3 linked regions of the Mus musculus genome follow. The protein of the gene in region 1 purifies or fractionates together with the protein of each later gene. This does not show direct contact. Links are inferred from orthologs where the notes say so. Each region holds a gene or a part of one and is shown in the gene's direction. Other genes may lie near its edges.

Evidence for each region. The genes of interacting proteins can lie anywhere in the genome.
Region 2: the proteins of Slc39a11 (region 1) and Galnt16 purify together in Homo sapiens (co-immunoprecipitation; 3 studies listed by BioGRID and IntAct, counting the BioPlex papers as one, with this or other methods). This does not show direct contact. The link is inferred for Mus musculus from reciprocal best matches to the Homo sapiens genes SLC39A11 and GALNT16.
Region 3: the proteins of Slc39a11 (region 1) and Fam174a purify together in Homo sapiens (co-immunoprecipitation; 3 studies listed by BioGRID and IntAct, counting the BioPlex papers as one, with this or other methods). This does not show direct contact. The link is inferred for Mus musculus from reciprocal best matches to the Homo sapiens genes SLC39A11 and FAM174A.

What each region holds. Positions count from the first base shown.
Region 1 is NC_000077.6:113,563,016-113,567,229, reverse strand, and holds the start of Slc39a11 (zinc transporter ZIP11), read left to right. Parts: upstream 1-1,414; 5' UTR 1,415-1,519; coding exon of another isoform or gene 1,520-1,554; exon of another isoform or gene 1,555-1,644; intron 1,645-2,367; coding exon of another isoform or gene 2,368-2,543; intron 2,544-4,214. UniProt on the Homo sapiens protein: Zinc importer that regulates cytosolic zinc concentrations either via zinc influx from the extracellular compartment or efflux from intracellular organelles such as Golgi apparatus. May transport copper ions as well.
Region 2 is NC_000078.6:80,517,548-80,521,789, forward strand, and holds the start of Galnt16 (polypeptide N-acetylgalactosaminyltransferase 16), read left to right. Parts: upstream 1-1,442; 5' UTR 1,443-1,621; coding exon 1,622-1,798; intron 1,799-4,242. UniProt on the Homo sapiens protein: Catalyzes the initial reaction in O-linked oligosaccharide biosynthesis, the transfer of an N-acetyl-D-galactosamine residue to a serine or threonine residue on the protein receptor.
Region 3 is NC_000067.6:95,312,151-95,316,427, forward strand, and holds the start of Fam174a (membrane protein FAM174A precursor), read left to right. Parts: upstream 1-1,477; 5' UTR 1,478-1,666; coding exon 1,667-2,100; intron 2,101-4,277.

The sequences.
Region 1 (4,214 bases):
CAGTGTGCACAAAGACCTGTTAGAGAAAAGCGAAGCTTAGGAATGCTAGGATGTGAGTATTTACTCTCCAGGATCGCTCAATCGTTAGACTTTGATTCCCACGACAAGGGAGACGACCCTGACTTAACAACCAGCCATTAGGTTTTTCCCATATGGAAGACATACCCCTAAAGGGCAGTTGGGGCTGGGGTGGATGGGAGTGCAGGGTCACAACCATTGTTAAATCCAGGTCTGCCATGAAATCCTTTGTGCTGCTGTCTAGAAAACCATCATTCCACCAGGTGGACAAGATGACCCTGGGTAACAACTATTCAGAAAGAGAACAGCACCGGCTGCACTCAAAATCGTTCTGGCAGCGTGCAATGTCTTTGCTGTGTAAATCTCCTAGCTGCCTATGTGGCCAGACTTGCAGTCTGCAGCCTCTTTTTAAGTTGCTCAAAGGGTTACCTGGGTCCAGGACCTGAGATTGAAGGATGTCAATGTATGTGAAATGCTTAAGCCTAGCGTGTATATAAGTTAATAAAACCTGGTGGGAGCTGATTGGGCATTCGCTGAGAGCTGGACAACCACCCTAAGAGAGTTCTTCCTTCATCGCTGCGAATACAGAGTGGTCCTCACTAGGAAGGCACACCGCTCTCTAAGAGGGTAATAGATGCCTGCTCTTACTGTCTTCTTTGTATACTCCAACTGCAGGCTGTTCTCCTGTCCTGAGTACTTTATGCTTGGGCTGCCAAATGCAACACTGACCACTCATTTAACTTTACATTTCAAAAAACAGTCATGACATTTGCATGTGTGCATCCCTTACAGGGCACAGGGCATACTTATAATAAGAAACTATTTGTTGTTTTCCTGACATTCAAATTGAACCAGATATCTGGCCTTCATTTTATTGCAGCTAAATCTAGTCAAGGTGTTTTCATAGAAGCCCTGGAGCGGAAAGCCTATGACCTGGGGTGATGCTTCGCATATGTGGCCCTCAGTGGGTCCTCAATATTGACATTGACAGGCTGTAGTCAGCAAGTGAAAGATTGCAAGCTCAAGTAGAATGCAGAGCCTGGGCATCCTTCTAATGGAAGGTATTGACCTTGAGAATAAAGCCATTGACCTTCAGAATGTTGCCCATCTTGACACTGGCTCCGTAGCTCAGTTAGGACCTATGTTGTCATGTTTAGGACATATGACAAAAGATGTAGACAACATTAAGTACGTCAGAACTGATCCAAAGTGCCCCTTCTTTGGGTGTCTGTAGCCTCCCCAAGATTTCCTGGGGTGTGTGCACTGCCCTAGGCCTTCGCCTTTGCATTTGTGGACTTGGGGGAAGGGGAGAGTGCTGCTTTTGCCCGCCCGCCTCTGTTCCTGCGAGCACGGAAGCCTGTGAACCTGAGACTTTATTCTCCAGGCAGGATTCGCCGGTTGCGAAGGGGCGGGGCCCGGCGGTGGAGGGCCACGTGTGCTGGAGTGAAGCAGGAAGTGACCGCGAGAGTGGAGCCGGGCGAGCGAGTGGCATCGGGGGCTGATGGAAGTGGAGAGGGGGCTGGAGAGGGCACCCTAGTGAGTCGCCTTTTCTCTCCTTCAGGCCCGGGGTGCCGGGCAGTCTCGAGAGTGTGCAGCGGCCTGGAGCTTGCAAAGGGGTGCCCTAAGGTGCAAGTCCTGGAAGAGCAGCAGGGGCTGTGACAGGTGGCAGGGGGAGGAGGGTGTTTGGGACCCCTCTGCTCCACCCTAGGATGAGCTGGAGACAGTGATGCGAAGCTCCTGAGTGCACAGCCAAGGGTCTCTTCATTCATTGTTTCATGGTGGTGTGTATAGGGGACAAGGGACCTGTGGTATCAGTGGCAGCCATTCGGAGGCCCCTCCCACCTCCACCTGTGGCAGGTCTGGGGGAGGCTGGAGAGCCGGCAGCATGCCTGCCTCCTGGAGAACTTTTTCATGTTCATGCTAGTGGTCCAGATCCTGAATCTGTCTCATGGGCGTCTCTGGTAAAGTCCGGTCCACGAGTTCTGTGCCAGCTCCCTTAAGCCCACGCAGTGCCTCGCTTTAACTAAACCAGCGTTTTGAAGTGCGGAGGCAACATTTAAAAGACAGGGAAAGAGACAGAAAAGGACAGAAGGAAATTTACTGGAGTCATGGGAGCTGGCTGCTCTGTGCTGTCAGCCCGCTGTTGGCTTCTCTCAAGTTATAGGATGGGTGGAGAATGGTCCCCTGTCCTGGTCACTGGTCCAGTTTATGATGTCAATATCCAGCTCTGGAGAAAGTCTGAAGCAGACTGCCTGGCAAGATTTAACTCCCCCATGGAGTTAAATAAGGTGCAGATTTGGGGAATCCCACAAGTGTGTGATGTCGCCTGCGCCCTGTGCTTTTACGTAGCTCCAACGGCTGGAGATGGAGCCCCTATGGTAGAGTGCTTGCTTACCATGTACAAAGCTCTGAGTTTGATTCCCCAGTACCACAAAAACCAGCTATTGTAGCACACTCTGGCAATTCCGGCTTTGGGAGGTGGAAGGCAGGAGGATCAGGAGTTCAAAGCCACTCTCTGCTACACAGTAAGTTCCAGGCTACATTAAAAAAAAAATCATCTAAGTAGCTCTCAAGAGGGACCAGACATCTGGCTTTCCACCACCCTTAGAGAGTAGCCAGAGTTTTCAAACAGTGAGTGGAAGAAGAGGCGTGCTGGGCTCACACTGTGATAAGTGGTGGGTGGCCAGGGCTCTGAGTTCTCAGGAACTCAGTTATGCAGTGAACTTAGAAGAGTGTTTTCCTATCTCTCTGGCCGCCATGGAGACGCACAACTCCCTTTGGTTTGATTTTGCTGGCTGGCAAATGGGAATCGTTTCTTTTAACCAGTAGCTGTCAAAAGACACAATGAGGTACTTGGGGGATGTTTTACGCTGTGATCTGTCTCGGATAGTGAGACTTGAGAGGATGCTAGCTCCATCTCGGTCTTTGTGTATGTTTAACATTTTACTCACAAGCAACTGGGAGCGATCAGTGTGTTAATGCTCTAGGATTTCAGCTAAAAAACAAACAAAAAAAATCCAACAAATTCAAAAAACAAAAAATACTCAAGTCTCTCATTTTTGTTTTTTGTTAGTTTGTTTTGTTTTGTTTTGACAAAGAATCTTACTATATGGCCCTGGCTGTCCTGAAACTCACTAAGTAGACCAGGCTAGCCTCAAACTTGCAGAAACCTGCTGGTATTTGCCTCTTCAAGGTCTGGGACTAAAAGGTTTCTGCTGCCATGCCCAGCACACACCACTCTTTTGAGGTTGACTTGACTCAGGGAGGGTGGAAAAGGCTATTTTTTTGCTTGATTTTTTTTTTCTTTTTAAAAATTTTAAAATGTGTGCAGTTGCTGTCTTGAGTTCCTCTGTCATGTGTGCCCAACCTGCACTCGGTATAGAGATGTGTGCAGCCCAACACAAAATAGTAAGCTTACTTAGACAATGTGAGATTTGGGGAAGGGTGCATTTTAAAACTACCTCTATGTGTGTGTGTTTTGCGGGGTGGGGTCGGGGGGCTTGTGCATTCCATGGTGCAAATGCCGAGGTCAGAGGAGAGCTGTTGGTTCTCTCCCTCAGGTGGGCGTCAGGAACCAAGCTCAGGTTGCCAGACTTGGCAGTTTTTCGTTATTTGCTTTTTTGCTTCTTGGTTGTGGGGTTCTCCAGTGTCATCGTCAAAAGGCTGCATATGCTTGGAATCCGAACCCATAAATGGTTAGACCTTAGACCTAGCATGGGGGCCCAGCGGGACTCATCTGAGCCCACAGCCTTTTCTGAGTGTGGGCTGTGCCCAGGGCCCTGTCCATACTCTGCCATGGCTTCCTCTAAGGGCAGCTGAGGGAACCTCTTTAGCCCTTGATATGCAGGCATGTTCAGCTCTGAGGGAGCCAAGCCAGGTGGGGTCAGGTCCAGCCCTGTGGATGCTAGAGGGCCGAAAGGGAACTGAATGAGGCCTTTGAGTTGATGCCCACACCTAGCTTGTATGTGTATGTGAGTGCCAGGACACACGGCCGCTTCGCAAGTGGACTTCTCTGCCTTGTAACTTTCCGTAGGCGAAGCCTGACATTTGCAATCTAGGACAGGATGGACAGGATATGGTCTCAGTCTTATAGTTCATTCTGAGGAGGTTCTCTGGGCCCATATGAGAGAGGGCCCTTTCTTTTCTTAGGGGACAGCGGTGCCCCTTCGCCGGCAGCAGCTATGCACAGAGCCGTT
Region 2 (4,242 bases), on another chromosome or scaffold:
TATTTACCTTATTCCCCAGATGGCTTCATTCGCAAGCCTGACCTGTCTTGGATTTTCCGAAGAGTCAACCTACCTGACATCATCCAAAAAGCACCACCCTGTCCACTCTGCTCCTGGCATTTAAGATCCTCCAGTATCTAGACTTGCCCAGTCTGGCCAGTCTCAACTCACACCAGGTCTTTGCCAGTATCCAGCATGCTCTCATGAGATATTATCCTGAGGGCCTTGGCTGTCCCTGCCCTTTCCTTATTCTTCTCTTCCTTTTTGGGATTACCCTCCTATTCTCCAGATTTATCCACTTTCTCTGGGAAGCCTTCCTAAAGACCACTTTGCAAGACTATACTTTCAGGAATCATTTCTGTAGTTCGTTACTGAAGACCAGTTTGCAATAAATTATTTCTTCCTCCGCAGCATCTACTTTGGTATCTCAGAGCTCCGAGTGTGTGTCTTCCTTTGCCTGACAGGCCCTAGCCCGCCTTGTCTTCTGCCTGGAGCCTGAATTATTCACACCTGCTTCTCACCTCTCATCGACTTCAGGGCCTCCGCAGAATCAGAATCTCAATGATGTCTATCCTGTCTCTCACCACCTTATTTTGCACTTTGTCAGAAAAGTGTCAGAGGGCTCTTAGACAGGGTTCTGTCCACTAATCGAACCCTGTGGCCTGGCCTCTATGGCCTCCCTTCACTCTCACGGAACGGTGATGACGCCTCAGGACAGTTCAGGGAGCCGCGATGCCGGTGTGGATAGGAACTAAGAGAAAGCTAGGAGCCCCAGGGTAATGAAAGATGTCCAGCGATCGCATCCCTGTGCTTGCATTGGTTGTACCGCAGCGCAGCTTCACCTCGCTCTCCAGAGTGTCAAGTGCATCAGCTTCCAACTCCCCACCCCCTCGGGCCACCGAGGCGGATGGAATCCTGGGTCTCCGAGAAGGATTCCGGTGCAAAGTCAAGACTGCCTACTCGCTAGCCTTGCCCCCTCCGAAGGACTCTCTGAACACAGGTTGAACCCTGCGCCAGAGCTCAGTTCTCAGCGCTGCCGGGAACTGCAGCTAGGCGACTCGGGCCAAGGCCAGGGGTCGCGCGTCTTCGCTGGTGACTCAGGTCCGCTCGGCGGTGGGTTAGGTGTGGGTGGAGAGACAGACCAGGGCCACGCGGGGGCAGGGGACGGGCGAGAGATAGCCGAGCGTTGAGAGAGCAGAGACCAGCTCTGGTTCATCGCCATTCCACCCCGCGTCTGTCTCGCTGAGACCCGGGATGCGGGAGGAAGGCCCGCGCCACTTCCCAGCGGGCGCGCTCTTTAGCGGGTGCGCAGCGGCCCCGGCTGCCCGCGGCGTCTGGAGCACAGAGCCAGCTAGGCGCGCGAATGAATGAGCGCCCGGGGCCGCGCGCGCTCGGGGCTGAAGGGCATTAGGACCGTGAGGATCGCTCTGCGCTCCTGTCTCTTCCTATCACACCCCCCCCCCCTCCCCAACCACCACCACCACCTCTCTCTTTTTTCTGCTCTGCAGGACTGAGCAGCCCGGCGCAAGCGACAACAAACGGCTGGGGCAGCAAGCTCCCCTGCTCGGGCTCCGAGAGCACGCCGGCCTCGGGCCCCACGCGGAGCGCCCGTCCGCCCACCATGAGGAAGATCCGCGCCAATGCCATCGCCATCCTGACCGTAGCCTGGATCCTGGGCACTTTCTACTACTTATGGCAGGACAACCGAGCCCATGCAGCATCCTCCAGCGGCCGCGGCGCGCAGAGGGCCGGCGGGAGACCAGAGCAGCTCCGCGAGGACCGCACCATTCCGCTCATTGTGAGTACGCTCTGCGCACCGGGTGAGCGGCGGGCCGGGGATCCTCGGCGCGCGTCCTGCCCCCCGCTGTTAGCCGAGGTTCGCGGGGCCCGACCGGGGGCTGCGTGCCCCGAGCACCGTTCGGGCTTTGTATATATTGGAGAATTCCTGCTCGTTGTTATGGCAACCTGTGCGGGGCCCGGAGGGGCCAGGGTGCTTGGATGCAGGGAGGGTGACAGCATGTGGGGGCAGGGAGAAAGTGCTGCAAGTTTGGTGGGCCCGGCGTGCGCGCGCGACTGAGAACGTGGCGGCTTTCGCGGCCCCGCGCAACCGGGGCTGGGGACTAGGGGGCTGCGGGCGTCTCGCCATCCCCAGAAGGCGGCTGGCCCTGGAGTGCAGCGAGCGGGTGGTGGGAGCAGAGCTCAGCAAGAGCGCGTAGGTGGTGGTGCGCACCGGGTCTCCAGCCTCTGGGGTAAAAGACGCCGGGCGGCGGCGTGGGTAAGGGAAGGGTCGCTGAGCGCTGCCCTTGGCTTAGCGCCTTCACATCCAAGATCAACTTGGACCAATTTTTTCAGCTTCCACCCCTACCTTCCCCGGAGGTGTTTTCTGGCTCCCCAGGGGCGGGGAGAAGGCTTGACTCATAAGCGCTCTTTGCCTCCAACCCTAGGGTCTGCAGTTGAAGGGGACTGTGTGTTCGTTGGGCTGGGCAGTTCCCTCTCATGAGATCACCCTCCAGACATCTGAGCGAGTAGGAGAAACAAAAGCGGTGTTAGTACTCCGAGAGCTCCCGCGGAGCTGGGGCGAGGGGTTGGGGGGCGGATTAAGCTGCACAGTAGAACCTGGTGGGGGCAAGCTGAGCCTGTAGGGGGCGTCCTGTCTACACTTTCGTCTGGTCAGCTGGTGATGGCTTCGTGTGGCCAGGCCCAGCACCTGTTGAGGAAGGAGACTAGGGGACCCTTTGAGAGAACGCTAAGATGGGAACGTTCTTCCGACGGGGGCAGGTAACCTCTTGGGACACACTACTGTTGGTCAGAGACAGCTTGAGAAGTCCACCAGGACCAGAAAGAAGAGCAAAGAACCAGGGAGGTGTGTGTGTGTGTGTGTGTGTGTGTGTGTGTGTGTGTGTGTAGTAGGGGAGGGTGTGATTCTTGCCCGGAAAGATCTGAACCCGCGGGAAAAGGGGACTGGAGCTCCTCCAGTAGGTGAGGTGCAAGGTCAGGAGTGCGGATACCTGTATCCTGTAGAATGCAGGGAATTTGTAGTGAAATCCAAGAATATGAGGATGGTTCTCTAGGTACCCTCACTTAGCCCCATCCTTCCCGTATTCCCTCACATCACCTGTTTGTAAAGAAGTAAAAACTCTACAATGGTATCAGTTTCTGGGCCTGATGAGAGGAGACCTTAGGCCCTAAGGTTTGTGTTTTAACCTAGATTCCAAGTTGTGGTGCATCGCTGCAAACATGCTTAGGAGGGCCACTGTGCTGTACCTAGGACATGGCTTTCAAAAACTTGTCAGTGTCTGAACATACGGAGCTAAAATAAAAAAAAAAAACCTGTACACTCTAGGGTGCTGAGATCTATGTGGACGGACAGGTCAGAGGAAGAAAAACACAAACATTGGTGGTTCTAGACTCCAGTGAGTTCCCACGATGTGTGCCCCAGCTACCCTATTCTTAGTCCTGGATCAGTCCAGTCCCGGTCTCAGGGACCAGAGCCTAAGGCCAGCATGATGGAACTGAGGTCAGATGATCGGGCTCCCCATCTCTCTCTCTCTGATGACCTGCTGGGAGGTGGCCTTCATCTAGAAGAGGAAGATGCTAGGAGTTGGTAGGTGGGAAAAGAGGGCAGAGACCACAGACAGGCTTCTGTAGTCTGGTCCAGAAACCTGAACCCTGACTTTGGTTAGGACACCTATCTTCTGTGCCTCTCAGATGAGAGTCTCAGAATGGTGTGTGTACGTATACTGGGGACTCTTGGTGGGATACGGGATGAGATTTAGAAGTTGGGGGGGGTGTGGCACTAGTGAACACTTCCCTGCCCTCCCCCCCCCCCCCCATTCCTGCAGATGCTGACTTTATTGCTGGTAAGCTGCTGAGACTGGAAGCTGGGAGCCAGAAAGAAAGGCAAGGATGGAAGTCTCAGGGAGTTGAGTGGCAGAGTCTTGCCTTACCACTTGTAGCCTGGGATGGCTCTGCTGCTGGCCTGACTGCAGGCTGCCCTCGATGTTGCTTTGCATTGTGTTCCTATCTTGAGAAATTCACTTCCATGTTGCTCTCAGCTGCAGATAAGCTGTGCATGCAGGGACCGTGCTGGATGCTTTCCGCATTCCCACATTGGTACACACGGCAAGACTTAAGAAGTACCTCCTTGATAAAGGAGTGCAAAGGGATTCTGCTCACTGGGAGCAGTGAACAGGTCCAGCTTCAGATGCCCTTACCCACAGCTCTAGCCTGGCCTCGGTAGAA
Region 3 (4,277 bases), on another chromosome or scaffold:
ATTAAAAGATGCATTGATTATCTGCTAGCAGGGCAATAGTCTTAAAGCCCAAGCTCATGCATGTTGTGAGGAGTGGTATGGGGAAAGGCTTTTTAAAGACAAAACCACAAGATCTTCAATATTTATGCAAATAACCAAATACTGGTCTTTTCTGCCAAGCTTACGTGGGCAAGGCCAAACAATCTTTGGGTATCTGCATAAGTAAATTACACAATTAAAAAAGCAGCTAGTCATATCATAATGCCATGGCTGTGCATTTCTGTATGTGGTCACTGAGTCCAGGTTACTGGGAGCTTATCTTCAAGGGACTGGAGTCAGAGACAAATGGCTAATGGGTACCAAGTTGGATGCTTAGCATAAAATGAAGTTTTGTTAACCCTCACAAGGGAAATACTTCAGCTCTTGTTTGAAAATGCCTGCAAAATTAAGTAGAATTCACAGATACCTGTCTTGTGACGTTCTGCATTTTAAGATTGGAACAGGCTGTCTAGAACATGTCTTCAGCTGTGATTTTAGAGGTCCTCTATAGCTACTGCAGTGTCTTCAGGGTAATCCTAATAGTTTCCAGGACATGGACTAAATTGCAGTTCCAGACCCTTAAACAGCTGACTCTTGACAGATGTCTGAGAAAGCCTTTTAAAAAATCTGTTTATAATAGACTGAAAGAAAGCTCAAGAAAGAACTAATCATATTTATACACAACCCATGCTCCAATGCCCCAGGCAGGTGTCTGGTTTTTCTCAGTGTTACTTGATGGAAATCTTAGATAAAGGCAACATTATTCAAATGTAAGAGAACTAAATTTGGAGTTCAAGTTCTGTAAAGTAAACTAGAGTAGGCAGATCACAGCCCCAGGTATTTGCTAAGGTAATATACAAACTTTCTCTCTTCCATAAGTTCAGGGATAGTTTTGCAGCTTGAGGCAGCCCATAGCAAAAACTAGTTAACAGGGGCACAATTTTCTTGTTGGTTTTATTTCAAAAGGATGACTGTAGGTCTCTGGAAATTGACAAGAGAGGTTTTTACAAATATTTACACTTTAAAGGGGGAAAACCTGAATAAACAACTTTACATTTTCCAAAGAAAGGGATTCCAAGAATAGTCGATACCCTTACAGCTAGAAAAAGCTCTCTTTAAAGTTTGTGATCCTCCTGAGGGAACTGAGAGGAAGTGTTTACTGATTAGATGTAGTTATGAAGTTTGACATCAAGGAAATTAAATCGAGTTTCCTATTGCTCCCGTTTCCCCACTTGGAAAGAACTGTAGGCATAACTGTTCATCTTGTTCAGGTTACCCACTCTGGCCCAAGCCTTTTCACTATTAGGAACACTCCTGAAACATGGAAAACCTAGTTGGGACCTCTCAGAGCGTCCCACAGCTACGCGTGCGCAATAGGCTCGAACCTCTGACGTCACTGAGCGCAGCCCGCCCCTACATATTAGCAACCGGAGGCGTCCGTAGCAGCAGTGGCTGCGGGGATGTACGAACTTCCGGTTGTCCCGGCAGGCTGCTGCCGCCGCCGCCGCCGAAGCCACCCGGCGCAGTCTCAGCCACCCGCTCTCCTCCGGAGAGTCGGCTCTGCGGTTCCGGCGCGCCCATGGTCGGCGCTGCGGACCGGGAGGCCGGCCCGGCGGCTGCGGCGTGCTGAGAGGCCGGCGTGGAGACCATGCCGACCCCGCGCGGCTGCTCCGGGCCTTGCCACTTCCTGGCTCCGGCCTTCGTGTTGTTGTTGCTGCCCGCTCTGAGCGGGTCCGGGGCGGTACCGTCGATGGTGGTCAGGGAGGTGCAGGAGTCCAAGTCTCCCAAGCCCGGGCCGCACACGCTGTCGCCGCTTCCTCCGGGCCCCACCGCGGCCCAGCCTCGGGGCCAAGCTCAGTCTGATGCTGCCGGGCTGCCAGGCGCGGAGAGCCGCAATGACAGCATCCCCGGGGCGGGGTCTGAGGCGGACGGCCTCGAAGGGAAGGCCGGAGAAGGTTCCCAGGGTGGCAGCCTGGCCGTGAGTCCCAGTCCTGGCGACAAACCCATGACCCAGCGGGCCCTGACCGTGTTGGTGGTGGTGAGCGCCGCGGTGCTGGTGTACTTCGTGGTCAGGACCGTCAGGTGAGGCACAGCCTCGATGGGCACCCCCTTGCAGCCTAGACCTGGCTGACAGGTGACCTGCTCCGTGAAGCAGGGACAATGTCTGTGACCTGGGCTTGACTTAACCCCTGCCCCCGCCCCAGCGTCAGGAACTGGAATCTAAGACCATCTGGTTGGCTGTCTTAATGGCCTGTGCTGCCTTAGCTGGTGACACAAGCTGTTGCCTTTCCTTTAGAAATCAGTAGCCTAACCTCAGCATCTTGCTCTCTGAGGCTTGCCTCTGCCTTCACAGACCCTGAAGTAGAAGTGCTCTTCCATCCCCAGGAATTTTGATTACAGTGCGGTGAAATACTTCTCTCACTACTCTGCAGTTGGTGTAACTAACACGTTTTGCCTGTTAGAATGCACTCCTATTTCTGAGGCAGGGTACCATAAAAGTAGCGCACAAAGTCCTGATTGGATGTTTCACTTTTGCAAAACTTGCCAATTATGTTTCTTAGATGGTGCCCTTAATCTATCCCAAAGTTAAATTGTCCTCAATTAATTGGGCGCCACATCTCTGGAGAGGTGTCACATAGAGGAAGACCCCCAAGCAGAAGGGGCTAGCTAGCCAAGAGAACAACTGTGGTTTCCCTTTCCCTAAAATGAGAGCAGATGGTATTTTGTGAGATCTGTACTGGTTTGTTTATTTCCTGTTTTCCAAATTACTTCACACTTTCCCATAACTACACACTACCGTTACTTAATGTCCTTAAATCCTCAAAACGAAATGTGGATTTTTAAAAAATAAGTACTTGTAAATGGAAAGCCAACATGGCGTGTCTTAAGTGGTTGATTAAAATGGTACGGTGTTTCTGTGTCGCCCAAACAATCTTATGGAATCTGTTTTTTTTACAAGTCTTCCTTAGCTCCTACTTTACATCTGTTTTCCAAATAACACATTCTCTTACAAGTGTATGAAATACAAAATATTTACTGGTAAGGCTTGAAATTCTACATTGGAACTGATATCAAGAAAATATGTCTTGTCACATTTTAGTGTTGTATATATTCTTAAAAAGAATCAGAAAAGGGTATTAAAGTGCACCCTTTTCCAAGTTGATATGTTTTTGAGGGTGGATTTTCTTTGTATCCATTAACCAAATTTTACAAATGATTTGATGCAGGCACAAATTTGAAAATCTAGGGTCCCCCCCCTTTTTTATTTTTTTGTACTCGGTTTAGGCCAAATGTTAAATAGATTTTGAAGGAAAAAAAGTCACTTTTTACTAGTTTTGGTTTTATGAACAGTTAACTTAAGATTACATTTTTAAAGCAAGTGTTCAATTTGTTCAGAGTTCATTGATGCTAGGTTAGAATCCACAGTTCTAAGCATATAAAGGAATGCAAGGCATTTGAAAGCCCCTCACATAAGCAGTATCACTGAGCTGGAGGCTGTTGATTTAGAAAGTTCAGAAAATCCACACCCACTTTGTCACTGGGGAGTTAGATAATGCTCAGAAGTTATTAAAAGCTCATGACCACCAAAGTGAGACTTCTTGATGATTAGAAATCTTAAAAGAAACTTAAATCATTTTTACTATGCAGTTTTTAATGTAATACTGTACGTAGTGCCTATAAGGACCATATCATTCCTGGTACATAGAAAGCACAGTTATACTGATCGTTTTCTCCATATGCTTCTTGGTTTTGGTATTTTATTTTTATTCCTCCTTATTTGGAATCTTTTATATAAACAGTTGCTGCTGTTGCTTTTCTGTGTTCATTTCCTTACAACTTGAAAGAACTCAGCCTTTTCTGATTCTCTGGGATAATTCCGTATCCTGTTGTATGAGAAGCACCAGATTTAGAACTGTGGCTGATAAAAACTGCACACTCCAGGCAGCATCTCACACGTGGGCGCAGTCCAAGTTCTACATTTAGTTGGCTGTCTAACATCCAAAATGTGATTGGTGCTGACTAAATCTTGGTATATCCAGAACTCGCTCTCTTTACTTCCATATTGTGTTCTTTATCCTCATTATGGTGGTTGCTCATTTTGGCGCCTTTCCCAAAGTATGTGTGACAGAGAACCAGGGCTGCTTACTTGTGCCAAGGGAGTCCATTCCCAGGTCACTTCTGTAACCGATGATGTGGGCTGAAACTGATTATTTTCATTGTAAAATTTTATTATATCAAACTCTATGAGACTTTAAAAA